Alligator mississippiensis: one gene and its partners. The protein of the gene in region 4 purifies or fractionates together with the protein of the main gene of each other region. This does not show direct contact. Links are inferred from orthologs where the notes say so. Each region holds a gene or a part of one and is shown on either strand. Other genes may lie near its edges.

Evidence for each region.
Region 1: the proteins of BCL7A (region 4) and DPF2 purify together in Homo sapiens (affinity purification with mass spectrometry; 3 studies listed by BioGRID and IntAct, counting the BioPlex papers as one, with this or other methods). This does not show direct contact. The link is inferred for Alligator mississippiensis from reciprocal best matches to the Homo sapiens genes BCL7A and DPF2.
Region 2: the proteins of BCL7A (region 4) and SMARCD2 purify together in Homo sapiens (affinity purification with mass spectrometry; 5 studies listed by BioGRID and IntAct, counting the BioPlex papers as one, with this or other methods). This does not show direct contact. The link is inferred for Alligator mississippiensis from reciprocal best matches to the Homo sapiens genes BCL7A and SMARCD2.
Region 3: the proteins of BCL7A (region 4) and SMARCD1 purify together in Homo sapiens (affinity purification with mass spectrometry; 5 studies listed by BioGRID and IntAct, counting the BioPlex papers as one, with this or other methods). This does not show direct contact. The link is inferred for Alligator mississippiensis from reciprocal best matches to the Homo sapiens genes BCL7A and SMARCD1.

The regions. Positions count from the first base shown.
Region 1 is NC_081838.1:4,098,579-4,106,771, forward strand, and holds the start of DPF2 (zinc finger protein ubi-d4), read left to right. Parts: upstream 1-4,893; 5' UTR 4,894-5,000; coding exon 5,001-5,032; intron 5,033-8,193. UniProt on the Homo sapiens protein: Plays an active role in transcriptional regulation by binding modified histones H3 and H4. Is a negative regulator of myeloid differentiation of hematopoietic progenitor cells. Might also have a role in the development and maturation of lymphoid cells.
Region 2 is NC_081827.1:170,136,392-170,144,456, forward strand, and holds the start of SMARCD2 (SWI/SNF-related matrix-associated actin-dependent regulator of chromatin subfamily D member 2), read right to left. Parts: upstream 3,170-8,065; 5' UTR 3,104-3,169; coding exon 2,939-3,103; intron 1-2,938. UniProt on the Homo sapiens protein: Involved in transcriptional activation and repression of select genes by chromatin remodeling (alteration of DNA-nucleosome topology).
Region 3 is NC_081838.1:5,931,940-5,939,367, reverse strand, and holds the start of SMARCD1 (SWI/SNF-related matrix-associated actin-dependent regulator of chromatin subfamily D member 1), read right to left. Parts: upstream 3,334-7,428; 5' UTR 3,326-3,333; coding exon 3,158-3,325; intron 3,076-3,157; coding exon 2,888-3,075; intron 1,857-2,887; coding exon 1,814-1,856; intron 1,734-1,813; coding exon 1,611-1,733; intron 1,428-1,610; coding exon 1,305-1,427; intron 880-1,304; coding exon 763-879; intron 1-762. UniProt on the Homo sapiens protein: Involved in transcriptional activation and repression of select genes by chromatin remodeling (alteration of DNA-nucleosome topology).
Region 4 is NC_081833.1:2,844,375-2,851,722, forward strand, and holds the start of BCL7A (B-cell CLL/lymphoma 7 protein family member A), read left to right. Parts: upstream 1-3,996; 5' UTR 3,997-4,101; coding exon 4,102-4,193; intron 4,194-7,348. Other genes in the region: CFAP251 (cilia- and flagella-associated protein 251), read left to right, coding at 903-1,004, 1,952-2,106.

The DNA of each region.
Region 1 (8,193 bases), on a different chromosome or scaffold from region 4:
AAGATCCGTAACTGTCTACAGATCAAAAACCTGCACAATCACAAAGCAATGTAGAATAGCACAACACGAGTCACGTTCACTAAACTCCTGCCTCTTGAGTTTTGGCCTGCTCTTCCCTCTGATTGCTTAGCAATTCCTCTTCTTGTCAAGCTGACAGGGTCTCAGATGGAAGCTGTACTCAGAGTAAACTTAACCAAGCTATCGTTTAATTTTTTTTTTCTTTAAGTGCTCAGTCTTATCCTGATTTTTCTTCTTGGCTCCCTGCCCGTTCAAAATGTCGCAATAAGTATTGCTTTATTCCTCCCTGACAAAGCCAGCAAAAACCACTAAATACATCTGCTCCGCTTCTGGAATTTCCTAGCCCCTTGCTTTCTGCAGAATGACAAATTCCTTCTGCTCTCTGAATCGATCATTTTGACCAGTTCAGTTCTTTATTGTTCTGTTTTGTTTTTAACTAGCTTTGTTTCCTCGCTTCTCAAAGCAGAAAGCTATGCAAATGATTGTTCCAAACCTGCACACGTTGCTTTTTTACATTAGTTTTAAGAAGCATGAGTCATTCAGCCAGGAAAGGTATTAATTGAGTTGCATTCATATCATGACTCAGTCTGTGATGGGAAAGATGATTTCATCTTTCCCATATATTTTTTTAAAGAGTTTTAGAGCAAAGCAACTGAATGTGAGGATTTTTGTCAAGGGTATATTCCCAGCTCTAGAAGCCTGAGCCATAGGCTACAGCGAGAGCCAGATCTGGGGCTCCTGGACTCAATGAGGGGGGGACTGCAGATTCTTTTCAATTCCACTTCTAATGAGGATGCCTTGGTTAGCGAAGCTGACAAATGTATCTTCCCGACTCTTGGATGAAGGGTGTTATAATGGTTGCAACATGGAGGGACCTCCAGGGTTCCAATCATGACTGTGGTATTGACTCACCATGTAACTTCATACGTAGGAGGCAAGCTAGCTGGCTGGAAGACAAATTCTTAGCGAGGGGGAGTAAAAACAGAGATGCCAAGAGGCCACGTAGAAAAAAAAAGAAAAAAAAAATTGCAGGGAGCATGCAGATGGAGGAAAGAAAGAAATGGGGAAATGCATTTTGTCAGCTGGGCATTCAAAGCAGATGAAGTGTGGCACTGAATGCAAGTATTGTGCTTCTGACTTTGTTCGTAAAGGAAACAGCGTTCCATTCAGGCAGGACAATGAGGGGTGCAGACATCCCTGCCCAGGTTTCTGCAGCGTGGAAGTCACAGGCCTCTTCTGCGCTGGATATTTGCCCCTGCTCCTACTGCAAAACATTACTTTTGGCAGGCAAGCTACTATATATACACCAGTGTTGTTAAATCCAGCTGTGGAAAGTGCAGAGGTGCACACTGTGCTTACAGTGATTTAGTCTGTCTACCCTGGGGCTAGGGACAGAAATTACACAAACTGGTATAAGCAATTGGAAACCGGTTCAAATCTGTAACACAACAGAAGTTCAGTGCCCATAAACCACTTTCAAAATGGCTGAAACCAGTATAAGATAAACCTGGATGGATATAGTATCAGACTTAACTAATTTAATTCGGTTTATTGAACTTCTGTCCCAGATCCCCTCCAGATTCAAGCCATCTGCTCCAGCAGACCAGGGAGGCGTGCTCTGGCGCCCCTCACCCCCACCCAGCTTCTGGCTTGGGCCACTGCAGGCACATGGCTGCATTTCTGGAATCAAAAGTGAATGTCTGTTCACTTGTTAATCGGTTCAATTTACACAGTTTAGACTAATCCGTGGAGATTGAATTGATTCAGCCTTGGGCTTTTTGATTGTCTGTACTTAGCCTGGAGGTTTGCGCTAGAACAACTACCCCACTGCTTATCACCATTGGCTGAAGTTCCCAAAGCCATTTGTACCATGTGGCAATCTAGTGGGTGTGAAGCAGAGCTGCCTGGGAACAAGGAACTACTTGCAGTGTGGCTGCCTGGGGAAAAGGGATGACTTAGCCAAATAGCTCAAGGCCAAATAGTTTCTGCACTTCCTGAGCCTGGTGCTTTCATATGCCTTCTTAACCCCACTGTGGAAAAATGAAAGAGCAGCCAATCCGTTTCGGGAAAATAAAGCAAATTCAACAACTTCACTTTAGCCATCCTGGCTGGCAATGAGAAAGCAGAGAAAGGCTGTCCCGCCAAACTCGCACCTCCGACACAGGAACAGCACAGGGGTTGGCCATGGCACCCCCTTCCGATCGCAAGCTGAAATGGCATTGCAGAGACCCTTCCATTAGACTCCAACTGCAAAATTAATTACTGGGGAGCTGGGAAGGGGAAAGTTGAAACAAAGAGCTAAATTGTGTATTGGAAGGGCAGGGGTGAGGGAAGGAACCTACGATCAGTAATGGAATTTAAGGGAAAAAAAAAAAAAAAGGCAGGGCAAATATGTGGTTGTTCTCATCTTTCCTAGTGAGCAAGCCAAGGAAGTGTCACAATGAGGCCGGGTGCAGCTGTGCTGCAGAAAACATGCTCGCAATAAGGCAATATACTTTCACTCACAGAAATGTTACCCCATAGAGAGTGAGAACTTTGGCCCAAAGCTGCCCGTGTAGTTACTTACTCTGTTCAAGATCCAATTATGACCCTTGGGCCCACAGCAGTTGAGCACATCAGAAGCATTCATAGGTTGTTATCCTTCCAACACCCACCCCTTGGAGATTGGGAATGATTTACCCAACATGTTTAGAGATGGGTATTACAAGCCTGGGACGTTACTATGCAGTAAGATGGGTGTGAATGTATGGTGCACTAGCTACTCCGCACTAGCCCCACATGTAGATGCTCTTAATGTGCATTCAGTGAGACTCTGCAGGGGCTGCTTACTTCACTTTGAAAATAGATTATACCTCCTCAGTCTTAGTCTGCAAGAGTTAATGAGGAATACCATATTTTCCTCACATACAACATGCACCATGCCTCCAAAAGAGATGTTGGAAATTTCAGTGCAATTTATATACAAGAAATAAGGTAAGAAGAGTTTCTGCCTTACCAGGCAAAAGTGAAAGTCAGATGTGCATACTACTTACAGGCAACAGAAGAGAGAGCAGGTTCAGCTCTTTTGCTGCTGCTACCGAGTTACTTACTACAAGAAACGTTTGGTTTTGTTCTTTAGCCTGCCTTTCAAAAAACAAGATGTGAATTTTATTCTAGGCTGGGTTGTATGTGAGCAAACATGGCAGACGGCGTGGTTTAAGTTCACACTCCAAGTAGAGCAGCCCTAAGCAGCTCACCCAAGGAATGTATCACTAAGCTAGAAATTGAACCATGCCATTAAAGTCTAGGCCAGAACCTCATCTACTTAACCATGTGTTTTGTCCTTAAATACTCACATTTTAGTATTTTCCCATTTATTTCCCTTCCCCACTACCTTCTTTTTCTGTTCTGCTGCTTTGAGGACCAGCCTGCGGCTGCTTACCTTCCAAATACAGGAGCAAAACTTTCCCAGCGTCAAACCTGAATAATTTATCACTGTCCAAACGCAGGCGAGTCAACAGCTCCGAATATATTTTTCCATGACTCTGTTAGGGTGTGGGCTGTCCCTCCGGCCTCCCGGGGGGACAGCAGTCCTGCATTCGTAACCCATGCAATGGACTGGAGGGCAGAGCACTCAATCTATGCACGCGCTGTTGAGGAGAACAAGAGTCTCATTTCTTGAGGACACAACTTACCTCTGGGTCTGGATCCAACACACTTACATCAGCGTAAACTGCTTTTATGCTGGGGTGAACAAGGAAGAGACGCAGTGTAAGCCTTTGTGCCAGCGTGCTTACCGGGGTTTGGGGAAAAGCAGCAGGAAAGAGACACCAGTGTAGCTTGGTGCGTGTCCATGCTTTTCCTGGATTACCCATTTGTTCATGACTACTGCATGTTCTCTTACTACCCGGTGGAAAGGCAGCATAATAGTTGCCTATTGTTGCAGGAAGCCCAAGGCAACTGCTTGTCTGTCCACTGTGGATCGCTGTATGATTTTTTGTCGGTGTAGACGAATTATACCAGTGTTAACGCGCCGTCTCTTCTGTTTGCCCAAGACTCCCTTTACTGCTGCTCCTCGAGTCAAAGCCCAACAAGCTTTTTCCTATTAGTTATCCCTTGGCGTGCACATGCCATCCAAAACGCCATTCATTTCAGCATTCTTACCTTGTTTGCCTTGCATGAAGCAACATGTAACCACCTGCCTTCCAGTAGAGACCCCGGCACCAATCCTCTGCACGTCCAGGGCAGGTGTCGCAAGGGCAGCTTTCTGGACCCTTCATGCCCTCAGCCCGCTCTGTCCCTTTATGGAGGACTGCTGGTCCCGTGGCAGCAGCAATCGGCCTGTCTCACACCAGTGACCTGCATGGCAAAAGGGACTGGGCTGTTGGGAGTCCCGTTGGGATCAGTCCCTCCTTTCAACTATCTGCCTACCCCCCCCCCCATCACGCATCATCCTTCCCACCTAGTCTCGGTGCTTCTCCTTCCAGTCTATCCTCCTCCCTCCATCTTTCCAGTCTTCCCCCTCATCCCTCCATTTTCTCTCATTCCCTCCATTCTTTTTAAATGCTCTTGTCATTCCCCCCATTTTCCCCCTTCCCCTCAATCACGTCTCTATCCTTCCCTCCCTCACACCCTTTTTCCCGCCTTTTTAACCCCATTCCCTCTCGCGCATGCGCCCCAGAACAGCCCCAACCCCGCCCAACGGGTTGCGCATGCGCAGTACCACACCATCGAGGGCGAGCGCGCGCGCTCTGGGCATGTGCATTGCCGAGGGCCAGGCAGAGGCGGGTGAGCCTCGGCGCATGCGCCATGATGACCCAGCACTAGAGTAGAGGGGGCGCCTGATTCTCAGTTGGCGCACGCGTACTTATTAATCAAGAGTGGGACGGGAGGAGGCCTCTGCGCGTGCGCAATAGGAGGATGGTTTCTCCCCGTTCCTCGCTGCCTTGCTGCTCTCGGCGCATGCGCGCGGGGCGGCCCACGGCCCAGGCGGCAGAGGCAAGATGGCGGCGGTGGTACAGAACGTCGTGAAGCTGTGAGTGGTTTCGCCCCCCACCTCCTTTCACCCCCCCCGGTGGGGGCAGTGGTGCAGCCCGGGCCTCAGCCGCGCAAATGGAACGGGGGGACCCCCGGGCGAGACCAAGTCGCCGGAAAGGGGAGGGACGGAGCCGCGCTCCCTCTCCGGGGCTTTCATTGTTCGGCGCAAAGTTTCGCAGCCCGGGTTCTAGTTTGGGGGGAGGACCTGCCCCCCCCCAGCCCGGCAATGCGTGGGAACGGGGGGCTCTTTCCCCCCCAGGCTTACTTGGTAGCGCCCGTGGAGGGGGGATGGGACCCCCGTGGAGTTGTGGGGGGCAGTAGGGGCCCTGTAGGGAAGGGGGGCCTCTGGGGGAGGTGGGGATGGGGCTGGGGGGCACTTCTTAGGGGGTTTTTGGGGTGGGGGGTTAGGACGGGGTGTGGGGGGGTAGGAGGGGACGTGGGGGAGGGGGTGTTTTGGGTGGAGGTTAGGAGGGGACGTGGGGGAGGGGGTCTCTAGAGGGGAAGAGGCCCCCCCATAGGGGGTCTTGGGTGGCGGGGAGGCAGGAGGGACTCTGTGGGGGAGCAGGGGGAAGGGGAGCCCCCCAGAGGGTCTTTGTGGGGGTCTTAGGGGTGGAGAGGGGGGAAGCTTCTCTCCTGCTGGGCCCTTGGAGTTGGTGGGGGGGTGTCAGATCCTCTCCCCAAGGTCCCTGAGTGGGGGCAGGAAGCTGAGAGGGGAAGGTTTTGAGCCCCCTGCATAGGGGGCCTTATGGAGGGAGAGGGGTGAAGCCCCCTCCCATCAAGTTCCTTTGGGTGGATAGGGAAGAACATCCCTGGTCCCTGGGGGCAGCTCCGCAGGGATCCTTGGGGTGGAAGGAAAGACAAGGACCCCAAGGGGGGGAAAGGGGCCCCGCGGCATGGGGGACGAGGGAGGAAGAGATCACCCTGCTGTGAAGGGGTGGGGGGGAGCTCCAGTGCTGTTCTCACAATCTGGGCTTGCAAAATCATGGTGAATCAGCCAGAATCTGCCCTGAAGATGCGCAGGTTGGAACTGATGAGTGTTTGGGGACGGGGTGGGTTAGGATGGCATAGGGGTGTGGGATTGGATGGGGAGGGGCAGGGATGCATGGGACCCAAGCTCAGTCCCCTCCCTTCATAACGTCTCCAGCTTTGTCCTTTCTCCAGTGCGTCCTAAGGATGCCTGTAACATGGAAAGTCTGGCTGAATCCGCACTGGGAGCAGTACTTGGGACACGGGGGTAACTCCTGGAGGTTAATCGATGGCCGTGCTTCTGCTAGAATTCATCCTTTTCAGCCAAGCTTCTGCTTTCTCTTGTGAAAAGAGAGTTTCTTCCCCTTACAGTGCACCAAACAGCAGGAATTCTTAAAAAAAAAAAAAAAAATGCCTTGGGACAAGGCTGCGCTAGGCGCTGTATGTGCTCCCCTAAGGCCGAGATGCCCAGCTGTGGTACGGGGCTAATGATACTTACCTGTCTTGTCTATACAGTGAGTTACTCCGGGCAGCGGCTGGTTTTCACTGGGGGACTGGGCAGTGCCTCGCAGGGTTAAACAGTGCCTGTCATGACAGGCCCCAGTCTCAGCCTGAGGGTTTGTAGCACAGTCCCAGTCTGCAAACTGGGCTCATGGAACTTGTAGTCCACAGGGGGGAAAAACCATTCTGCAGTCCCAGCCTGGATAGAGACTGGAGCTTGGACTCGGTTATCTCAAACCTCTCTCTTCCTTCACAGGAGGTTTGTGAAGATAAAATGCATTAAAGATCCTAAGGGTCCTTGGGTTCTGCAGTGGGCAGTCGCTGCCCTACAGTATGCGCTCTGGCCCCAAATCTATACTGCAGCATCCCCCAGCAAGAGTATATCTACCCCCCCCAATCAGTGACTAACCTTTTGTACATTGCTGGGTTGTCAGGATGCTCAAAAAGCCAGTGAAATAGAAAGTATTGCATTATCCACTTGGTCACATGAGGGTGGAATGTATTTATTTTTCATGAAAAGGGTGGCTGTTTGCTTTTTGGAGCAGAAAGTTGTGAATGTCTCTTTGCGGTGAGGATAGCTGAAATGCTGAGGAGCTGCCGCCCAGTCTTAAAAAGACAGCATTGGTCTCCTGATTGTGGCTTAGTGTGTTTTAACGGTCCCAAGGCACGTTATCTCTGTGCAAACCTTTCAGGAAGCCTTTATGTCAAGGCACGAGTTTGCCTCGCTTTGTTTCCATCGCTGGAAAAATTGCGACTCTCTTGCTGTCATTGAAAAACAGGCAGGAATTTTATAAAGGGGTTTCACGGGGCGCTCTTTCCATTCCTTGTCCCCCCTCACCACCACCACCCAAGTATCCTGTCCATTTCCTTTCCCCACAATTAATTGTAATAACTTCCAGCACAAAACTCTTTTCTGAGATTCTTGCCAATGGGGGTGGAAGTAATTGTATTAGCTGAAGCCATCCATAAAATGGGGTTTTGAGCGTAATTTCTCTGGTTAGTGCCAGCTAGATAACTTCTGCTTGTGGTGTTAGCTAAGATTGGAAACAGGCCGCTATGTAAAATTGTCCTCAGATGCAATGCAGTCCCAGCTTTGAAAATCTTCATATCCAAATGGACAAAGGAAGATGGGAGAGTATTTTTAGGGGGCAGGGGGGAGGATGGGGAAATTATGACACTGGAAACCAGACCTCCTGTCTTGTCTCACTGTGGTTCTTAATTCATGACCCCTGCTGTGTCTCAAGCAGTATTTGTAAAACCTTTTAAGGAAACATTTTTTGTGGAGCAGGAGTCAGATCTTGCCCTCAAGCCGACCAGTGGGTGATTCTGTTAAAATCTGTGGAGCCGCACTGTGTATAATTGAAGGCAGAATATGTTCCTCTGTATGCTTTCTCAAAGTGTTTGGCAAGGGAAATATTACAAGATAAGATAATTTTTAAAAGGGGGTGCTGGAAAGAGATACTATACTTAGTTGTATACCACATGCCTTCAGATAAAACTGGCACCTTGTCTGAGGGCAAAGTAGATGAAAGAAAAGAGAGATTCGTTCCATTTAGCTAGAGTGTTCAGAACCATTTAAGACAAACCCCCTAAGTTTCAATAACTAGTCTTAGGGGAAAAGGTGAGTGTGGTATGTGCATAAATAAGGTATTTATTTTGTCCTTCACTGTGGCCTGAACCCTTGTAAAGAAG
Region 2 (8,065 bases), on a different chromosome or scaffold from region 4:
AGTTATTTCTCCACTCACTTTAACAGAGTTTGTAAGGCAGAAAGTCTCTAGATTTAAGGTGTCCAGATTTTTTTTGTGATTGTTACAAACTAATAAGAAAGGCTAGAGGCTTGGGAATAGAGATGAGCCAGGGCAGCTAGCTGGAGAGCCTGCTGAATTATCACTCTCCTCCATTTCAAGCCTTGCCTGGTAGAGAAGGCTGCAAGCAATGCTTCGGCTTGTTCAAAGCTAATCCTGCCAGCATGCAGGAGTCTGGCAACCTGACTAGCTTTGCAGGGGAGGGGGAAGGAGAAAGTAAGAGCATCAATTAAAACATTTATACTCCTCATACTGCAAGTGCTAGACAACAGAGGACTGCTTCACTGGTTCTCCAGCAGCTCTGCTTTGGCCAGTTCCACTCCCAGGGCCAACAGTGAGGCTGTATTCAAGGTCTAAGTGGGAACCTCCTCTCCTTTTCCATTCCCAGTCAACCCGCTCTCTGGTAAATGTCACAATGGCAAAACACACATATAACTATTGACTTGGGAGCTGCTATAAAAGGGACAAGAAGAGAGGAAATGGAAAATGTTAAGTAGAACACACCACCTTTGCTTAGAGTGTGATCTGTGCTCAATTATCTCCCGAGTGGGTTTGTTTTCGCCCAAACAGAAGGCAAGTCCCGTGACCTCCAAGTGAATCTTGCCGCTGTGCTGATAGGGAGCCGTGCACAACAGTTCCTGTTGGGTGTATACGGCAGATCCAGGCAATCACTGTGGGCTGCTGACACTGACACAACATGTGTGCATTAACATTCAACTACTAACAGCACTTCCCTGGACTTCAAGCAATAAAAGCAATGGAGAACAATGAAAAGATGGCTAATGCAAAGGGTGAACTGGAAACAGACTTCAACAGTATCTGGACTTTTTTTTTTTTTTTTTTTTTAATTTCCTGATCACATTCAAGAAGATTTCTATTGAATGAAATTCTTGACTGATGCCCCAGATCCCATAACACCATGAGCAGAGTTGCCATCTTGAGGAAATATTGGAGGCCCAACTCTGGAGGGAAATGGAGTCAGTGTCGCATTCCCAGATCTGCAAACAGTACACTATCCAACCTTAGCCAAGCAATGGAGACAAGCCCATTCAAGCAGTCACCACCTGCGAATGCCTCCATTTCCTGGTCTGCCACTGGAAATGCCAACACTGGATTTGCAAAGTACTAAGAAGAAAGTCAGTGAGAGCTGCAACTGCCCAGGTTCCCTGGTAATCAGGTTCCAGGTTTTGAGCTGGGCATGCAAAATGACTGACACTGGAACACGTAAATCTTAATGGTGCACTGGGTAGCTCATCTGTACAGTGGGAACAATTCTCACCTTGGCAGTACAGAAGTGCTTTGAGATCCTTAGAAGACATCGTGACAACCCTAGCATTCTGGTTAAATTCCCTCACTTTGGCGGGCTGAATTCAAGCACATTCCCACATACACACACCCCCTTGAACCCAGTGAAAGCAACTACCCTGCCTCTGCTGAGGAGCTTTATCAGCTCCAGACACATAACGCAGTCTCCAGCGCCAGGAGGACCTTTAGAAACTCCAGCTTCTAAGGAAGCCACTAAGCTTCTGCTGTTACTTTTCAAGTTGAAGTTACCGTCTCCAGTTCATCCACTCCAAAACGGAGATCCCTTCTCAAGCTGACACCTCCTGCAAGGAAACACCCCACCCACACATCCCCGGAGACATTTAAAAAGGATCTCAGCCAAATTCAGAAAGAAGGTGAGCGCAAGTCCTCAGACACAGGAATCCTTGAGAGAGCGGGGGCACTCCGCTGGGAGTCCCCTGGCACGCTCTCTGAGGACAGCACAGACAAATCTCTTCCAGTGTCAGGGCTGCAACAACAGTTTTAACAAGCAGGAATAATTTCTGGTAATAGGGATGATAGCCTCCACTCCTAAGGGATCTCCGCCCACAAGCTTCTGGGCTTGAGAGCAGAGTTATAGATAAGTCTTGCTGCCATGGGCTTGCTTCTCTACTTCTGCCAGATGATTGCGTGTGGAAGGACAGAAGCTGGATGAGGCGACCTGGAATTAAGCTGCCATAACAGAGGCCCACCTGGTCCATGTTAGCGCTGAGTTACAAAGCCTGCTCTACTTTCAGTTAGCCCCTGGCTACTTCTGGATGAACAGGCAGGAAAGTATGTTTATGAGCTGCTTTTTCCATCTGGAACAAGGCGTGCAACACATTTTTTGGAGGAAGACTCTGTTGCCAGATCCAGGCCTTTGTCACTTAAATTAGAACAACATGCTGCGTGCAAAGCAACCTACTGATCAAGCTGGCACCTGCGCTTTTTTAAGCCAAGCATCGTGGCAGCACACACGCATAGCGTCACACCTGGGCTTTTGGAGTGGCACTGGCTCAGCTTTCCGATACGTTTTAGGGTGCAGCAGCTGAACAGGAGCCCTCCCGCCAGCCGCGCCCCAACCTGCAGCGCTGCAGCGTTGCGCCTAGCTCAGGGCACAAAGGCATCAGGCCCCAGGACTTAGCAGTGTCAAAACCCACGAAGGCTCCTGCTTGGAGACCGCGCAGGTCATCGAACCAGCCTATCAACTACCCACCACCCGGCTGACAGCAGCTCCCCGCGACCGCAAGAGCGAGTCCCCGAGCGAGCGGCAGCCCATCTCGCTCAAGAGCGCTGCCGCCATGGGGCTGCTCGCGGGCACCCGCTCCCCACATGCGTGGTCTTCCTGCGTCTCCCCAGGGTGCCGGGGGCAGGGCGCAGGCCGGGCGGCTGACATGTGGCGGGGCGGGCAGGCGCGGGGGTCCTGACAGAGGGGCCTGAGCCAAGCCGGGGCGGGGGCGAGGGGGGCCATAGCTGTTGCGGGGCTTCACCAAGTGCCCGCCAGGGGGCGGGCGCGCACCCCCGCCCCGCGCACCCGCCACGCCAGACGCGCACTGACCTGGTACTGGGCGGCGGGGCCCAGGGAGCGGTAGCCGGGGGTGGCGGGCGCGGGGGCCGGGCTGGGCCCCCGCAGGAGGCCGGGCCCGGGGCCGGGCGGGGGGGCCGCGGCGCCGCCGGGGGGCAGGGGGCTGAGCGGGAAGGCGCCGCGACCGGACATCGCCATGGCCCGGCCCCGCCCCGCTGCTAGTGCTCGGCGCGGCTCCCCGCGAGCGGCGGCGGCGGCGGCGGCGCCCAGGGCCAGACACCGCGCGGCGACAGGCCCCGCCCCCACGGGGACCACGCCCCCGGCCTGCCCCGGGAGCCCCGCCCCTCGACCTGCGCGTCAGCGAGCCCCGCCCCCAGGCGCCCGGCCCCGCCCCCGCCTGTGTCGTCACAGCCCGGCGAGCTCCTCCCCGCAGTCTTGGCCCGCTCCTGTGCGGACTCGTTCGCTTCCCTCCCTGCCTCCCGCCTGCGCCCAGCCCCGCCGTGTTCAGCCCGCGGCTTCGCCTTCTCGAGTCTGGACGTTTCCTCCGTGTTGGCGCCCGGTGTTTGCAGTCTTGCTTCTCGACCTCTGGTGGGCTGAGGTCCCGGACTTGAGAATCGGGCGGGGAGGGCGCTGGCCCGTAGCCCCCGGGGCGCCGAGTCCAGGCGGTGGGGCGGGGAGGACGCCCGCCAGGGCCCCGGGGTGGGCGGCCGGGAGGAGGATGGCGGCAGGCTGCCACCATGCCTGGGGGTGAGGAGAGGGACTGAGTTCTGCCTGCTCCGGCCATGCGGTTTCGGGAGGATTGCGTTCTGCCCAGTCCAGGTGACTCGGAACGGGTCCGGGGTATTTGACCTGGAACACGAAATGTAGTATTAAAAAAAAAAAAATTCCCTCCCAACTGCCTGGTAACTTTAGCAGGGCCGCGTTCCTCGCCCTACTTCGCTCCCGTCCCTGAGCAGAGTATCACTGGGCAGTGTCCACTAGCTCCTTGGGCGCTTTTGAGGGTCTGTGGGTGCTGTCCGGCGTCCTGGGCCTGGCCCACGCCCCTGAAGGATGACAAATAGGCCTGGTAACTTGACCCTGTTCGGAGGCGGTTCAAACTTCCCGTGCCGGCCAATGGAGCTTGGCGCCTGCAGGGAGATGTTGGGCCGTGTTGATGTTCATCCTAAGTCCCTCCAGGGCTGTCACTAGTTGTGACTGTCGCACTTTTGTTCCTGTGGCTATCGGTGTTTCATCCAGTGGCTGTGCTGTGGAGAGGAAGCTTTTCTGTGATTTTACCACAATGTGGCCGTATAAGAGGAGCATCTTGTCTTCTGCCTCCTACGTTGTTTGCTCAGTCACCTCAAGCAAAGCAATTCTATCCACTGGAGAGAACCATCCATCAGCAACCAGCTAGGACTGGCAGTCACGAGGCTGCACCACACAGACCTGTCCTCTTCTTCCTTGCTCTTGCCGCCCCCACTCTCCTCAGTGACCACAGGAAGAACACCCAGCATCTCTGAGCCTGACCAAGTAACTAAAGCCTCACCAAACACCATTGCTTTCCAGCACTCCTGTGTTCCCAGTGTCGATCTGAATATCTTTATTACTACTATTATTTAAATATATATAATTATATTTGATTATATAGAATGGGATATAGCTATGCCCCATTCTATCCAGAAAGTTTAATACACTTATCTTCCCAAAACCCCTGTGAGGGAGACTCAGACACTTGTTCCCAGTGTGCAGAAAGGGAACGGAGGGACAGGAAGGCTAGGCAACTTGCTTGGGGTCACACAGGCAATCTGTGGCAGACCAGGAACTGGAATCCAGGCCCCCTGAGTACTAGGTTAGTGGCCTAACTACAGTGTCATTGTACCTTTAAAAATATCACAAAAAGAGATGTGAGGGGCTAGACATCTCCCTTTAGACATCTCCCTTAGACTAGACATTAGGAAGAACTTCACAGTTAGAGTGGCCAAAGTCTGGAATGGGCTCCCAAGGGAGGTGGCGCTCTCCCCTACCCTGGGGGTCTTCAAGAGGAGGTTAGATAGGCATCTAGCTGGGGTCATCTAAACCCAGCACTCTTTCCTGCCTATGCAGGGGGTCAGACTCAATCTATTAAGGTCCCTTCCGACCCTAACATCTATGAATCTTTTAAAAATGTCCAGAGGAACAAAGGCTCCATGCTACCTTCCTCACCCCCCACCTCAGGAGACTTTCCAAAGGAAAGCAAAAAGGTGGGAGCAATTGAGGGAATGAGGTCTGCTTTGTTTTCTTCTCCAAGCCCATTCAGGAGCCAAGTCATGCTACCAGTCTCCTCCATGTTCCTGGAGAGTTTGCAGGTTTGGGTGGAAGTCATGGAATCACCGAGACTCCAGGTTCATTTGAGTTGGCATTTCTGAGGGCTCCACACACAGACTTTGCATCCAAGATCTGTAGTCTCTGAAGGCTGATGGTCCATCCCTGCCCCCAACTCTTCAGCACACAGGGCAAATTCACAGTGCTACTAAGCCAATTAGTTTGTATGTTGTGAGAGAAGAGGAGCTGGCTTGCAATCAATGGATGCCCTGAACTGTGGGGCTGTATTGCCCACACTAGTCATTAGAACCATGTGCTGCTCTCTCATCTCTTTTGGTACTCACTACAGCAGCCTGTGGGTCCCTACTGCCACAGCAAGGATGGAAGATAAGAGTCCAGGAGATGCTGAATTAGACCCTTGCTTGAGACGAGGGTAGATGGCCGGCGTGGCCAACTTGCAGCACATGTACTGCAAGCAGCACAGGTAGCCTCTGTACATGGTACACAGCAGATCAGGGAAAAGGCAGGCAGCGCAACAACAGACTGCAGAAAACAGAGCAGCAGTTCAGGCAGGGAGCACAAGGTGGGCAGCAGAAAGCAGAGCAGCAGATCAGAAAGATGGAGGGAAGCAGAGTGGTACTTGGGGAGGGTGTCAGGGTAACTTGTAGCACACCTGTCAAAAAGGTTGACCCCCACTGGAGCAACCTAAGCCAGTGCCACCCCATGTCTCCCCTAGGACATGGGTCCTGTTCACCTCTTTGTCCTACTACAGGCCAGCCTGGTTGCTTCAGCTTCCGCAGGGACTCATGCAGGGATGGGTGTTGTTGTTATCATTCATATTAGACTTATTAACTGTTCATTACTAGCATTATCATTATTAAAATTAGCATCTAAGTCTCACATGTATTTTAACTGCCTTATGGCTATTAATTCATGCTCCTTGTGGCCCTCATTAGAATAAGAGCAGCGAGTGAAGATGATAACAACAATCACTATAATTGTTTGTTATTGCCACTGTTGATTACTTCACTGTGCAGTGCTTCTTGCCAGTCACACCCCCTGAGGCACCCTGGCAGCAGCAGAACACAGGGGAGCTACGCAGTTCCCAACCCTCTGCTACTTACAGCTACCACCTGCTCTGTTGCTTCTGCTTTTCACGCTGCCTCACCCTTCTAGATCCACCTACACCTCCACGCCCCTGGAGGTGCCCCACGGGGTAAGGAATATCCACCCATACTCAGTCAGCATCCTCCCTATTTGGTTTCTCCTGCTCCTCTTGCCTCGTGACAGTGAATGAAGCCCTTCACCACCCAGCTGTGTGTCTGGGCTGAGAAGCAAAAAAGCCTGCCTGTCTACCTCTGAGAGGAGGGCAAGTGTCCAGCATAAACACAATAGATCATTACTGCTATGCAAGGTGTCTTGTGTGTGTCAGTTCACTGAGGTTTGAGGGAATGAGCTAAGATGGTGTCGCAGCTGTGGTCACCCTTCACAGCCAGGGAATGGAAGTATTGTTAGTATTTGTATTGTGGGACTGCCTGCAGGCCCCTGGTCAGAACTGGGCCCTCTTTGAATGAGGCATCCCTGAATGAAATGCATAAAATGACAATCCCTGCGCTGATGCATAGGCAGCAGGAAATAGGGCTCTTAGCATCTTCCATTTGTAAAACTGCTTGTTTCCTGAGCCTGAGCCTGGAAAGTGGCCAGTGTCTAATAACGGGACTGGATGAGAGTTACAGTGTCAGTATAAGCAGCCCCCTGTTCATTCCTCACTGCACAGATTCCTATAAGCCCTCTACATAAGATCTGCCATTTACTGGGTAAACCATAGGTCCATCTTGCCCAGTATTGTGTGTCAGACAGTGGCCAAGAGTAGACAGTGAAAGGGAGAGTGAACTGGGGATGACCAGGGTTTTTTGCCACTTCTCTCACTTGCAGTCCCCAGCATTTAAGGTCTAGGCAGTTGATTCAGAGGCTGTACCCCTAACTTCTGTGCTCAATAGCTACTGATGCATATTTCCTCCAAGAATTTGTCCCACCCCTTTCTTGAATCAGGCTAAACTGACAGCTTCTACAACATCTGATGGCAATGAGTTCCACAATGCAATTACAAAGAAAACAAAGAGAAACTCTGACCTTTCAGAGGCCTCATTCAGTGGCTTTAGGGAATCCCAAGCCTTCCACCCCCATCTATCAGGCATCTACATCTACGGTTGAATTTGTAACTTGAACCAATTGCACGCCTGGACTGGGAATGGGGGCTCCCCCTTATAACGATTACACTGTTAGGTTTAGTAAGAGAAGGGAAGAAATGGTAGAGAGGGAAATAAATACTTTTTTAAAAATGTATTTATTTATTTGTGAATTTGGTTAAATTCTCATGACATTTTAACCGCTGGATCAGTGGCACTGGAGATCCAGAGAAGGGGAAGGAATATTGTGCCACCGGGTTGTGCCCTGCAGGAAGTCACCCTGTCCCAGTGGGTGTGCTCTGTAGAAGACATCAGCTGTTCAGCACTCCCTGAACAAACAGCATCCCAGAAATTCATGGACCTGCTGCCAGTCTGGGACACGGAGCCCCATTGGGCTCACATCAGCAAGGGGTGCAAGCAACAGCTGCGTTAGTTTCCTACAACCAGCACTCACCTCCTTACCCTCCGAGATGTGGCCTGCAAGGAGCCCCACAGTCCAGATCTGACCTGGGACCAGGATGAGTTTGGCACCCCTGAGATCACTGAAGTTATTCAGACAAGTAAAATGGCAGCATTTTGTGAGGAATTATACAGGTTAACACATGATACATAATGAAGAAGCATACCACATTTAACACTACCTATATTAAATGGGTTTGGTTAAACAATACCAGCAGTGACAAGTTACTGT
Region 3 (7,428 bases), on a different chromosome or scaffold from region 4:
GGCTGTAAGATGGAACGTGATACAACCTTGTGCCCAACACAGCAGAAGAGTGGACACGATGGCAAGGAGCCCTTCCGGCCCTGTGTTCAGAGGTAAACTGTGCACAGAAATCCCTCAGGACCAAGACCCTCAGTGGTGACAGCAGGGCAGGACATACTCTGCTGCCTTCCCCGAGTTATCAGCCTTACTCCGAGTACGGAGAAATGGAGGACAGGCACTTATGCTGTGTTATGCAACAGCTACTCGTATGGACAACAGACTTCATCCACTGCCTGCACTGTTACAGATCTGAGGCGGCTGAGCCAGGTGGCTAGAACTGAGAACACACGTACACGACTGCCACGCAAGTGCTCCATGATCCCGCAGCATCATGCTTTGTAGTTCGGCACTTCTCACGCTCCAGAGGCACACTGATATTCTAGTAATGATTTGTAGTTCAAAGAGGAGCTACCTTTCATCTCAAGATTTAAAGAGATTCATAAACTATGAAAGCTGCAGACCTAAAAAATTCATTCTCTTCTGCAACAGGCACCAGCCCCCACTCAAGATTTAACTCGGCATCCTTCCCATTTCACAAATGTTAACAACATGTCCCAAACTCGCAACAAACCGGCAGCACAGTTAGGATCAACCTCTCGAGTTCCTGGCCCACCCCTTTGTGCCAGCCCCTAGACAAAACCACATCTCCCAGGAACAAGACACGCACCTCCCCACTGCCAACACTGCAGCCCTCCCTCAGGGACAGTAAGAAGGACAGCTCACCTCCACCAAGTGATTGTCTGGGCCATACAGGTCTTTATCCAGCTCGATGACCAGAGACTTAAAGAAGGATGAAAACTTCCTTTTCTGTTTGGTGGCATCATATTTGGACAGAGCTGACTGCAGCAGCACAGAAGAGGAAGAGTGTCATGGCTGCCCACCCCAGCCATTGAGCATACATAACAGGGCTGATGAAGATGATGACCTGAAGCCCACAGAACACTTGCCTCTTTACTGTGTGTTTTATCCCTTTCCCCATAAATCTGCCTTAGAAACATCCCTATCCACAGGCTGGAGAACCAGGCACGGCTCTCTTACCCTTACCCTCCCCCAACAGATTTCTGTTTCATTCTTACTGAACACCAAGGAGGCCCCTAGTTACAGCCTCAGCCTCTAAAGAGCTGGTCTGCCCTTGCAAGTCCAAACCTTTTAAATCACAACCCACTAGCAAGGGACTCCCATCTTATGCCCACTCAACCCACATTATCCGAACACTGATGCACCTCCCTTGGCCTCCCAAAAGGAGCTGCAGCTCTCGCACTCACATCCTCTAGCAGACGTCCTTCCACCCTGAGCTCCCACGAGGCAACAGTCCCCTCACCATCCTCTGCATCCGACTTGGCCGGATTGAAAGTGTTGGAAATGAAGATGCGAAGCTTTCGTTTTTGCTAAGAAAGTATCAGCAAAACATTAATGGCAAAACCCTAAACGCTAAATGCCAATAACCCCGTCCATGCCATGCCCGCAGCCAAGACGCTTTCCCTCTGCCTTTCACCTCCCCAGCACGCTGCCATGTAAACTAATCCCACGTCTGGGCAAGACAAAGGGCGTAAGCCGCTCTCCTCCTCTACCTTAATGGGTCGTTTCAAGGCCTCCTGGATATCCAACCGTTTCCTCATGATCGTCTGGTCCAGTTTCCTTTCAAATGCCAGCAGATCCATGTAGGCCTGAGATTCGGGTACCAGCTCACGAATCTGCAGCAAAGCACAAGCCAGTCAAACACGCCGCTCAAACCGCTGAGAGCTTGGAGACTGCGCGCACGCGCCACACTCACCCTCTGAGGTAGAATTTTGTCAGCCATTTTCTTCTTCTTAGCGCTGCGTAAAAAAAGACACATGCATTAGGGTGGCAACCCCTTTGCCCCTCAGACCGGAAGGGGCTTTACCCTCAGACCTACAACTGTGTTGCGAGATGCTCTGGGTCATCCTTGGCCCTGGCCTCTCCAGTGCAGCTGTTATACTGTCAGCCCACGCATACGGCGCCTAGCCACAGCGGGGCTGGCACTCGGCTCCGGCACAGCAAGCTCTGCAGCACTGAGACCCCCCGGGTCTCTGAACATCTCCGGTCTCCCAGGGGAACCAGGGCTGCACTGAGCTGGGGGCAGTATTTTACTTTGGTACAAAGCGACTCCGCACTCTTGATTTAACATCGATTGATAGATTTTGCAGTCAATCCTTTTCTCAACCGACGGATAACGTTGGGCTGCCACCGCTCACCAAGGCACAATGACTGCTATGAAGTTAAAAAAGAAAAAAGCCCAACCAACCCAGAGCTGCCCTTGCTGTACCATCTGCGTACCGTTATTTCTACCTAATTCGGGGGCGGGCAAAATACGGCCCGCAGGTCCCCTAAAAAAAAAAAAAATGTACAAAATGAATATGAATCTGCTCCTGGCTGCCTGTCAAAGATGACAGGAACCAGGAGCAGTAGGACCCAGGGGAAGCCACCGGCAGAACGGCACAGCCGCAGCAGCAAGTCCCACCCACCCCGAGCCCCAACGGGAAGGGGCTTCTGCCCTCGAGCTGCTCCTGCCTCCCCGCGCCCCGGGTAACACAGATGAGGAGGAAAGGGGGGGCGGAGAGAGAAAGGGGAGGACCGCAGGCATCGCCCCAGTCCTCAGGGGCTCCTGGTGGCAAAGCTCAAGGGTGAGGACTTCTGGTCCTAAGGTGTCAACCAGGGACGGGGCAGCGACAGCTTGCCAAAACTCGAAGCGCGGCCGGCCCGCCGCCCGAAATCACCGCCCGCCGCCACCCAGCGACCCCACCCCCACCCCCGAGACCGCAGCCTAGGCAGGCGAGCGCGGCTCCCGCTCGCGGACACGGCTCCGGGCGGGCGCGGGGGCCCTTACTTGTGGTTGCGGTTCTGCACGGCCTGCTGCTGCACCTGCTGGATCTGCTGCGGCGCCGGGCGCTTGCGCGACTGGTCCAGGCCGGCCTGGGCCATGCCGGGCCGCACCGCGGGGCTCCCGCCGTAGCCGGGCGGGCCCATGGCCGGGCCCTGCGGTGCCAGGCGGCTGCCCGGCAGCAGGCCCGGGCGCTGCGGAGACAAACACACGGGCCGGTCGGTGGCGGGCCCACGCGCGGCCCGGCCCCCCCGGCCTCCCCTCCCCCCCCCATACCGGGTAGGCGGCCCCCGGCAGCGGGGAGCGGTAAAGGCCCTGGCCCGGCGCCGGCCCCATGCGCACGGGGGGCCCCGGCGCGCCCGGCCCCAGCGCCCCGGCCCCCGCGGCCGCCCCGCCGCCGCCGCCGCTCGGAGCCACGGCCTGGAAGCCCGCCCGCGCCGCCATCTTGTGCCGCACAAAGGGGGCGGCGGGAGGGGCGCCGCGCCGGAAGCGGAAGCGGACCATAGAGCGCGGCGCCGAGGCGGGGCTAGAGCGCCCCGGGGGCGGCGGCGCGCGCCCTCTGGCGGGGCGGGGCGGGGCGCTTAGGCAGGTCTTCGCGGTGGCGGAAGGAGCAATGGGTGCACGCGGTGGAGGTGGCACTAGGCCGGCAGACAGCTGGGCTCAGGTGACTGTCCAGGCTCCTCTGGGAAACCTCCAGGGTAGGGGACTGCACACCTCCGGAGGGAGTTTATTCGGGACACCCGGGCTGTGAAGGAGTTTTCCCTGCTATTAAGCCTGAAGCGGCCTTGCAGGAGTTTGCACCCATTGGTCCTGGTCTTCGCGGGGGTTGTTCCCCGAGCTCCCGCTGCACTCCTCTGAGATAGCAGTAAGCCGCTATCAAGTCGCCTCCCCGCCGTCTCTTGAGACCGAAGTCCCTCCGCCTCTCCGCCTCTGGCTTGCCTTGCAAGTCCCTCATCGTAGGGGCGCCTCTTCTCTGGACCCGCTGGAGTTTTTCCGCACCCTTATTGCAGCGCGGCGCCGCACCGTGACAGCGACCGCGGGCTGCAGGGCCACGGCCGGTGGCAGCGACTGGCCCCCCCACAGCAGCCCGGGCAGGAAGCTGGGGCGTCTGTGCCGCGCCCTGCCCGTGCGCTGGCCCAGCCCGCAGGCCCTTGCCCCTTGCCCGGCGCGGGTCCCTCTTGCCTCACAACCCAGGTCCCAGCTCCGTGCCGAAATGCTGACATGAGGTGGAGGCTGGTGGGAGTGAGCTGTATCCTTCGTGCCGCCAGGGACCGTGCGCAAAGGCGCGGCGCGCCCTTGATGGCAGCACTTGCCGACGGCTTGCGTGCCGCGGCCGCGCCGGTCCTCAGATCGCTGCGGTAGCCCCAGGAGCGGGTGCGATCCGCTCCTCTCATTGCTATGCTATGCCTGCACTTGGGGTTTGCTTCACGGCTGGCTCCAGTTCATTTAGGTCTGTCAACTCCTTTCAGAGGATGTTGCTTCTACCATTCCTCTCCTAGACAAAAACCGCCTCTTCCTGGCCAGCCTAGCCCCAGCCCGGCCCAACAGAAGTGGGTCACAAGCATAATTTATATGCACTGCTCTTTGTTCCAGAGAAACACTCGGCTGAAAAGGCTTTTGGGCAGAGCTCTTGTTTATGTCCCAGTCTGCACAGTACACTTGGTCCTGCATGCACAAGGGCTACTAAGTCAGACAAGTGAGACAGGCTCTTCCTTCAGTGTCAGGTTCTTGCCCCAAACCGACCCCGGTAAAAGGCTAGCGGGCTCACGCTAACAATGGGAAAAGTGTGTTTCCTACACGCTTGAAAACAGACTCTGCTTTTGCTCAAACCTCCCCAATCGCTGACTCGCCGCCAGAGGACAAAGCCAGTAAATAGTTGAAAAGATGTCCCTTGGACTGGAAGTGCTTCCAGCAGCCCCTCCTTTGGGACCCCCTGATCTAAGTGAGCTGTTACAAAAGCACGCCTGGAGTCTCTGGGCCTCTCACAATCTAAGCGTGCACTTAGGGCAGGGCCGGAGCTTGTTCTCGCATCACGGCCCCGCTCCACGGCCGGCTGAGAAGCCCACCTCAGCCCTGCAGGGAGCCCAGCCTGTGTGCAGTGCCTACCCGCCCCTGGGAGATTGATTCCTGCAGCCCAGCAAGAGAGAAGAAGGCTGTCTTCATGATTTATACCATCCTTTATATCATTGCTAAGAGTAGCAGGTTTGATGTACAATGCATCTGTCATCTTATTGTGCTTCCTATGAAAATGTGTGTACATAGTACAGATACCAGAGATAATTCAACACTTTATACACTTGAAGGCATTCAGAGATCGGTAACAGAAAATGGCACAATATCAAGGCCTAAATGCTACTGGATGGGTATCTACACTGATATGGCGCATATAGAGGTATATATATATATATATGTACATATATATATATAGTAATATATATTATATATAAGAAATATAAAATGAGGATGATTATAATAAAAACAGACAAACAAATAAAAAAATTGTATGCCTCAACAGGTGAGCATCGAGGTCAAATCCAAGCCCCATCTTTAAAAGCTTTAGAGAAAGAGAGAGAGAGGGAGAGAGAGAGAGAGAACAAAACCAAAAAATAAAATGAAAAGCAACAAAACTGCAAGAAAGATCCATAAGAAAATTTATGGACGTGGCCGACCCATTTGTCTTCAGGTGACTGCAGGATACAAAGGACTGACCCCCCCAATTCCTAATTTTGGTCAGGACATGGAAATAACAACAATAAAAGTAAAAGAAAGATTAAAAAAATAATAATCATCATTAAAAAAAAGACTTATTGCAAAAGCTCTTAAAGATAAGTAGCACTTTAGCCCGGCAGGGCCGTTGCTGAACATGGGGCAGAGCTCGACAGGGCTGGAGCCCAGTGTCGGGGGCGACGGGAAGGCTTTTTCATTGACCGTGGAACAAAACAATTGAGGTTTCCTGGGCCGGCAACCCCTGCTGCAGCGGTATTTGTGACAAACAGCTGCAGCCCAGCAGCCTGCGGTGGGTCTGGAAGGAGCGGTGGTCCATGGAGGGGGCCTGGCTCCCTGAGCACAACCCCCTCTGAGGGCAGCCGGCCAGCAGAGGCCCCAGGGGACCCAGACCCAGGACAGCTGCTGGCCACTTCTGCACCAGACCGTGCCCAAGCCCTGTGTTTCCAGGAGCAGCTGTTGCCTGGGGGAGCCTGGCTGCAGGGACAGGGCAGGTGTCCACCCCCTCCCCAAAGCAAAGAGCCCTGTACCTCAACACCCCCCTCCTGCGGTAAGACTACTTGGCGTGGGGAGGGCGGCTGAGGCCCGGGCTGGGGTGTGCGCGTAGCGCCTGCCCTGCTCAAAGCTGCTGCCCCGGGTGCTTGGCTCAGTCCAGGGTGCCAGCGCTCCTGGCTGCAGGCGCTCCCGGCTCCAGACTCGCTGTTCCAGGAGCGTGGTGGGCTTGTGCGTAGCCTGGCAGAAGGGGCGCAGAGCCCCGTACTCCCTGGGGGACGAGGATCTGGGCAGGCACCTGCCAGCATGTGGCTGCCCTGGGAAAGCTGAACCAGGGCCTTGTTGGGGGGGTCACACCTGTGTCCGGCTGCTCCACGGGCTGAGGGGCAGCCTGGGAGCAGCTGGGCTGAGAGGCCATGCTACTGGGCAGGCTCCCCCTGGACCACCACTGCCTGCGCGGTAACGGGCATCGCGGAGATGTGGTCAGGCCCCCACATCCCCTGCCCACCCAATGCACTCGCCCCTGTGCAGGGGGCTCGTCAGGCAGTGGAGAGGCCCCTTCCGCAGCGACTTCCCATCCACCTGGGGACTGCTTGAGGGCAGAGCGGCTCGAGGCCCCTCGGGTTCTTTGGAAAGCCCTCCTCCACCCCTGGGGCCAGCCACAGTGGAGGCTGGGAGGGGGCCTCAGCCCTCTACACCGTGGGGGCTGGGGACAGAGACCTCATAGGGCTGGGGCAGGGCAGCTCATGCAGAGGATGGCGATAGAAGGACTAGAGCGACACTAGCTCACGGAGGGAGCTGGCGTGACCTCGGCTCAGCTCGCAGCACCGTGCACGGGTGCACTGGAGGACAGCGGGCGCGCTGGGCACAGGGCAGAGCCCTTCCTATGGCAGCAGGCTCCCGAGGACCCTATACTCAGCGAGACACAGTGAGATGCGCTGGGGCTGACACAAGAGCGAGAGCGCTCTGGCTGTGCCCAAGAGGCAGCAGAGGCGCTCGGGGGTCAGCTCTCGCCACCCTCTTCCACCTGCCCCAGGGATGACAACCTGGAGCATCCTGCTGAAGCAGGGGGGACCCAGCCCAGCACCCACGGGGGCTGCCTCCTGGGTGGGAGCAAGGCCCTCTGCAGAGCTGGCTCAACTCGAGCAGAGGGACCAGGTTCCCTACACCCGACCTTGCCTCCCAGGGCTCCCCGTGGAAGCAGGATGGAAGGGAAAGCAGGCAGACAGATGGATGGATGGGGAAGGGGGAGGGCCTCCTCCCCCTGGTGCCTTCGCAGCCACAGAGCTGACTCTTCCTGGCTTCTGGGTTCCTTGCTCTCTTTAGTTAAA
Region 4 (7,348 bases):
TCTCCAAAAACTCAGTAGCAGGAATTGAAGGGGAATCCAGAGGTGAGTGAGGAAAGCAATTAGAGGCCTTGAATGAACTCTACAAAGCGGTACTGTTTGGCTTAAAAATCACATGAATGAAAGGGACTTGAACAAAGGTACTGAACATTATGAATGATCCCAACCTTGAGAAGGTAAATACCGGTAAGGTACTTCTACTTCCATTTTTTATTATAAGAAGAAGTTGGATGTTCAGTTAAGTTTAAAGGAAGCAAGCTTAAAAACACGCAAGGAAATATTGTTTATTCAGCAACAAATCAATCTGTGAAGCCCATTGTCACAAGGCTTCATTGAGGTGAAGGGCTTCTTTACAGAAGGATGTTGACAAGAACTAGATGTTGATATGAATGGTGAGAACATCCACAAGTAGATATACGAAGCAGGATAAAACATTGTGTAAGAGAAAGAAACACTTGTGCTTTAGGACAGAAGCTGAGCGTGAACTGGGTTGGCTTAGGAATACATTGTTCTGTGCAGGTCATTCCATATGAGTTTCTTGCTCCTGCTGTGAATGGCTGTGGCACAGGCTGTGGCACATATAGAGTACTGGACTGCATGGACTACTGGGATTTCCTTTGAAAAGGAAATTGCAAAATGACTCAACAAACCAGTTCCAGTAGAGCCCCCCCCCCCCAGATATGAGACAGTTTTATAGTGCACAAGAACAATTTTCTCTAGGATTAAATTTCTTCCATGAGGATCATTCAGTATGAGTGGTGCTGGCAGCACCTTGAAGGAGCCCCATGACTTTTTCAAACCATGTTACTTTGGCTTCCCACTACTCTTGCTCCAGATGTGGGTTAGGTTTGCATGAAAGATATTGAAATCTTAATAAGAGACTGTTTTCATTTTACTGTATGCAGGGGAGCACATGACAGAGGAGGAACTGGCAGAGTGTCTTTCCACCCTGCTGGGCATGAATCCTGAGGGAGGAAGATCTGAGCTAGGTACTTGTGACCCCACAGGTAAACACTTAATATTCTGCAAAGCACAGAAGTTTAAATTTCTTCAGCTCCTTTAACACAATAATGCAACCTGCAAACCCTATTACCCTCAGTCCAACAGCTGTCAAAAATGTGCATCTGAGATTGCAAACGCAGTCAGAGTGCATGAATCAAAGATGGTGCGTAGCCCTAACTTCCATGGGTATTGGATATTCACGCCCAGTCTATGAATCAAGTGTGCCAATGTGTAACAGTCTAAAACAGCATCCAGTGAGAGTTTTCTGCAAAGGATCTCTGCCTGCTGAAGGTGCTCTTAGAAGGAACTGCTTAGTGGCATAAGCCCCAGCCTTGATTAAAATAAATTCAGAGTAGGGTAGAAATACCACTGTTTCATTCTGAGGTAGATCCATTAAGTGTCGCACAATTTTCTGGATGTGGGGCTTGCAGATGAGACTCTGCTAACCAAAGACCAGTATATTCTGCACATCCCAGGCCGCCTTTGTAAGAATTAAAGCTTAAATCTGTTCTTTTCCCCCTACATTACCTGAAACAGGAAGTCGCTTTAGTCTTTAAAGCAACTGAATAGTTTTTTGAAATCTGAATAAGTATATCCGAGATCGAGCACATCAATAATGACATTAGAATCATTTTAAAGGAATTCACGGACAAGGAATGAAAATAACCTTGTCACGATTCGCACGGTCAGAAATGGAAGAGACCGACTACAGTGCTGTAGATCACTTAGTCTGTGTCTAGTCCTCAGTGGCTGTAGGGAATGTGCTGCATCTCATAGGATCAGGCCCTTTTTTTCTCCTCGCAGGAGATGTATCACTTTAACACTTAACGCTATTTAAGACCTCTTTTGTATACCTTTGTGGACACTTTACCCCCAGACTACTGGTTACCAGTGTTAGTGATCGGGAAACTTGATTGTTTTGTGGGGGGTGTTTGTTTTTTTTCCCTTCCAGGTGCAGCAGGTTTGATTGAAGAAGAAATTCCAGAGGAAATCACAGCAGAGATATTCACTGCTGACATCCTTGGCTTACCTATTCCTGAACCAGAAAAAAACAGACTAGAAAAAACAGATGAACGCATTAGCAGTGAAAGGTCTGGAAAGGTATAATTGCCACGGCGTTCGTAGTTTCCTTGTATTTATTTTTAAGAAATAAAGAGAATTTCAGGTGTATGGAATTCCAGGGGATCCTATCAGATCGGTGTTATCAAGAGATTAGAAATACTCCCAAAGACTGGCCAAACAGCACTGCGGCTGGGGTGGGTGATCAAGAGGACATGGCTTGCTCCGTGCGCAGGGTAGGAAACACCCAGTAAACGCCCTGAAAGACGCAAAATCAGGAAGGGTTAAATGAACATGCGGCTAACACCAGCATCGTAGTTTCCATTGCCGGTGACGCTGCGGTCCTGCTCCCAGACCATCCAAGCCCGTTAGAGATGCATCGGTTTCAGGGAGAAGGAAACCTGAACTGGTGTAGTTGCTTTATGCCATTAATAATCCTCCTTCCCAAGAGGGTTCTTCCTGTGCCTGGTAATGCTGGTGTCAAAGCAGGTTTACATCAGGGCTCAGCGCGAAGCTGCGGTAATGTATTCCAGTCTCAGCACGTTAAAGTTTGTTCACAAAAAACAGGCTGTCAAATAGCAATTAATAAGTACAGTATCTGATGATATGCATTGATAAGGGCAGTATACGCTACGCCTGGATGGTTAATTAGAGGCAGATCCAACAAATCTCAGTCGAAGGAAGCGCATTCTATTTAGGGACGACGATTAAAAATTGAGTTTCCTTTTTTTGCTCCTTCGACTTTGTTTTTCTCTCTGGAAGTGTTAATTCTAATTAGCAGTGTAATACCAATGGGACAGCATCTTACTCGGTGTGTGTGTATAAACAGCATAATGAAGCTGATGCAAGTTGCTGTAGAAAGATTCAGTGAAGAGCTGTTGAGCACATTTCCTTCTTTACATCATCCTCGGCATCAATTTGAATAATAATGTAGACCCTTGTGAAGTGTTCCTTTCAGCCGCGCTGCTTGTAGGATGGAGATTAGCGTTGGATCGAGCAGAAAGAGCAGGCTATAAAGGGTGTCGTTTGCTTTCCAGCCGCCGTGTAACGAAGGGTCCGATAGTGCAGGGATGTGATACTAGAGAGGTGTCACTTTGCACGACTCCCCCCAGCCCTCTTTATTGATGTCTCCCCCCGTTTACTGATCCCATTGATGTCTGCTGTCCCCTTTATCAGCGCCATTGATGTTTCCCCCGTTTATCGATCCCATTGATGTCTACCCCTTCATCGATGCCATTGATGTCTACCCTACACTTCATTGATGCCATTGTCTCCCATCCCCTTCATCGATGCCATTGTCTCCTGTCCCGCTCATTGATGCCTTCCCCCCTCTTAACTGATGCCATTGATGTCTCCTGTCCCCTTCATGGATGCCACTGATGTCTACCCCACACTTTATTGATGTCTACCCCCCTTCATCGATGGCATTGACGTCTACCTCCTCCTGTATCGATGCCTATCTGGATAAATGACGCTCTCGACATACACGTGCATAAATGTCTCTCTCCGTGCCTCATGTCAGGTCCTCGGTGGCTCTAAATCGCCGCGAGTCCGCCGTCTCGGCGGTGTCAAGGTGTGTCTCTGGCTGAGCACCGGTCGCACGCTGCCGGCCCTCGGCGTGGCACAAGTGGCAGCCCCGCGCCGGGGCAGCAAGCACGGTGGTCAGGGACGAGCGCGGACCCTGCTCTGTGGTGTGAGGGTGGGGGCAGGGGCCACCTCAGGCGTGGCGGGCGCCCGTGTTTTGTGGCTCGAGGCCCAGGCCCGGCTGGGTGCCTGAGGCGAGGCGAGGCGAGGCGCGGCGCGGCGCGAGCGGGACCCCCCCCCCCAGCAGCGGCGGCGGCGGCGGCAGGCCGCGGATCCCGCGCTGGGCCGGCGCGTGCGCGGTGCGCGGTGCGGGCGGGGCGGGGCGGGCGGAGCCGGCGGGCGGCGGGCGCGGCATTGTGCGTGCGGGGCCGCGAGCCGAGCCGAGCCGGGCCGGGCCGGGCCGAGCGCTGCAGTCTCCCTCGCCGCCGCCGCCGCCTCGTCGTCGGCCGCAGCCGCAGCATGTCGGGCCGGTCGGTGCGGGCCGAGACCCGCAGCCGCGCCAAGGATGACATCAAGCGGGTCATGGCGGCCATCGAGAAAGTGCGCAAATGGTGAGCGGCCCCGGCCGGCCCGGCCCCGGCGCGCGAGACCCCGGCCCGGCCCGGCCCGGCCCGGCCCGGCCTCAGCCGCCCGGCAGCCATTGCGCCGCCTCAGCGCGGCCCCGGCGGCCGCTCCATTGTGCGCCCGCGGCCCGGCTTTGTCTGCGCCTCGGCCCGCCCGGAGCCCGCACGCGGCCCGGCCCCAGCCCCGGCCCGGCCGCGGGGCGCGGGGCGCGGGGCCCGGCCGGTGTGCCGGCCCCGACGGGCGGGCGGTGGGTGGGTGGGTGTGGGGCCCGGGGGCCGGGGCGGCTGTCTGCCTGCACACCTGCCCCTCTTCCGCACATCTGTCCGCACATCTGTCCACCCACCGACACCGCCGTGGATCTGCCTAACTCTAGATGTACCCGTACACCCAGCTCGGTCTGCATCCGCCCGTCTGTACGTCCGCGTATCTCACTCTGCGTTCATCCATCCATCCGTCCGTCCGTCTGTCTGTCTGTCTATCGTCTATCGTTTATCTATCCAACCGCACACTTATCTGTACACTTACACATCTGTCTGTCTATTTATCTATGCCATCTATTGATAGGCAGGCGGATAATTACATAATTATGACGATCAATTATGGCCTAGCAAGGGCGGTTGGGTTTTCTGTCCGCTGATTTTCGGGATGTTTCCTCGCAGCGCCGTACTTGTCCGAGCGCGCTGGGCAGGGGCTCGGACACGAGCGCCACAGAAGTTTGATCCTTTCTTAGTCAACAAAAAGGCTTTTTTTTTTCTTTAATCTTATGTATTTATTTATTCATTTTTGTATGTATTTATTTATTCATTTTCGGCCGGTGGTGTTTTTTGTTTTGTGCCATCGTAACCGTTCAGCTCAGATCTGCCGGGCAGGCTCGTGGCTTTTAGGATCGAAGTGGACTTGATGCAACTTAATCCTGCGGTGACGATTTGTTTTTGACGGGTGACCCGAGAGAATTAGTGAAAGCTCCTGTTTTGCTCATTTCAGAACTGGCTCCTGTCACAGTTGGCGTACGGGTCTGACAAGCGCTGACTTGTACCACGTAGCAACGTATTTGTTGAAAGTTTGCCGGGAATCGTTTTTAGCAAACCCAGGGTAAAGTTTGCCGGACGTAATTTTTAGCAAACTTAGGGTAAAGTTTGCCGGACGTAATTTTTAGCAAACCTAGGGTCTCTAATTGTTTCTGTTGTCTTCTCCTCTCAGACCAGTAGGATGGGAAGACACTGGGGAACTTCCAGTATTTTGCGAGTTAAACGCGTTTGGTGCTTTATAGCTCGTAAGCAAGCGCGGTTTGTGAAGAGGTGCGTATGCAGTGTGCCACGCGCATGAGGGCCAAACCTGCGTTTGCAGAACAGGGAACAGGCTGCGATCCCAGTTTGGATCAAGATGGGAGCGTTGCATAGTGGACCCCGTCTTCTTTGAGTGCTGGACTTCTGTATTAAACCTGACTGCAGGCGCAGGCCCCTTGGCACGGCACTCTCCAGAAGTGACGGTGGCTCTTGCTGGTGAAGGAGGATGTGCCGTAGCCTTGCACATGAACACAGGTGCACGCAGATGCTGCTGCGTACCTTTTGGGGCTCGCTTGTCTCAGCACAGGATTTGTCCCTTTGACAAGAGTACATTTAAGTAGCCAACTTGCTGGCAGAGGGACATATCTTCAGATGCGTTTGCAAAGTGCTAGCACGGCGAGCACTTTAAGCACAGGCCTTGATCTGATTGGAGCTTCTGGGCATTATTGAAACACTGCGAGCAGTAATAAAGAATAAAGACTAGGGGTGCACCGATAACTATTTTCACCTAACCCAAAAGCTGATGTTTAACCGTATTAGCTGATGCCGATCCGGTAACCAATATTTAGTAATAGCGTGAGGCGTTTTAACCTCCTGACATAAAACTTGTTTTTGTTTGTTTTGCATTTCTAACACATGCGCACACACGCCTCCTGCCTGCTCCGGCCCCGGTGAGGAAGGCGGTTACCACCTTATTCCCATGCACATCACCCCTTTGCCCATGGCTCCAACCCGCTCCCCACGGAGCCTGCGATGCCATCCCAGGGGTGTAGCGCAGGCCCTTGTGCAGACAGCGGTGCCGGGCGTGTTTGGAGCCCCAGATCATGCTGCTGTGTCACAGCTGGCGGGTCCCACGCAGCCGAGCCCCCCGGTCATGGGGGGAAGCCACTTTTGCAAGTGCACCCTGCCTGCCTGTAGTCTGTCTCCGCAGCAGGACCTGGTAGCCATCCCTTTGTTGCTGAGCGTGGCACCCTGTAACCGCTCCCTGGCGCCTCCCTCCCGCTGCTCACGGGGACCTGTAGTCTGCTGTAGGCTCGGGCTGGCGATGGGGCTCACCAGGATGCTCTGAGCACGCAGCCTTAATTATTGGCTACAACAAGCTAAAAAAGCCAATAACTAAGAAACTCATTTCTCTTTTTATTGGTGCCGATCCAATAGCCAACTGACGTATCGGTGCACCCCTAATAAAGGCATTGACTAAATGGTTTTGATCTGTGCAGGTAGTGCTGCCAAGTGTTACTTGACCAGGTTGCTTTAAACTACTCCATCAAGGGTACTCTATTGTAGAAAAACCTTAGGTGTGCATCGGACTAGGTATTTGTGCTTAAAATCTGTTCTGTTTGAGTATGCGGTGGAAGTGCTGGCCCTCTATAGCTAAAAGGGATAAACCTTTTTTTTTGGATAAAAATATTTATCGTTTTCTACTAAGCCTACCCAAAGAATGATCCCAGGTCAGTGCATCTCAGTGGGTTTGAGTGTTGTGTGTCTGTTTCTTACCCCCCACCCCCCCAAAATGCATCACTTGTTGCTTTCAGAAAGTTGACAGAAATACATAGATTTTGAGGTGGAATCAGTCATTTTTAGTGGCACTGAGGTGATGTTGAGAGGCCTGAAGAAGGTACCATGATCCCTGAAAGTTTGCCAGTTATTGGACCAACTGCACAGTTGGGATAGACAAAGATATCACCCACAAGAATTCTTGCTTCTCTTTAATAATGCTTATACCTTTTAATTGAAGAAGGGCTAAACATCGGATGGTTTTTGATACCAGGAAGAGAATGAAAAATCTCTTCCTTGATGAAAATCAGGTGTCCTTATGAAAAAGCTTAAATATTTATTTACTAAAGGCATTTGTA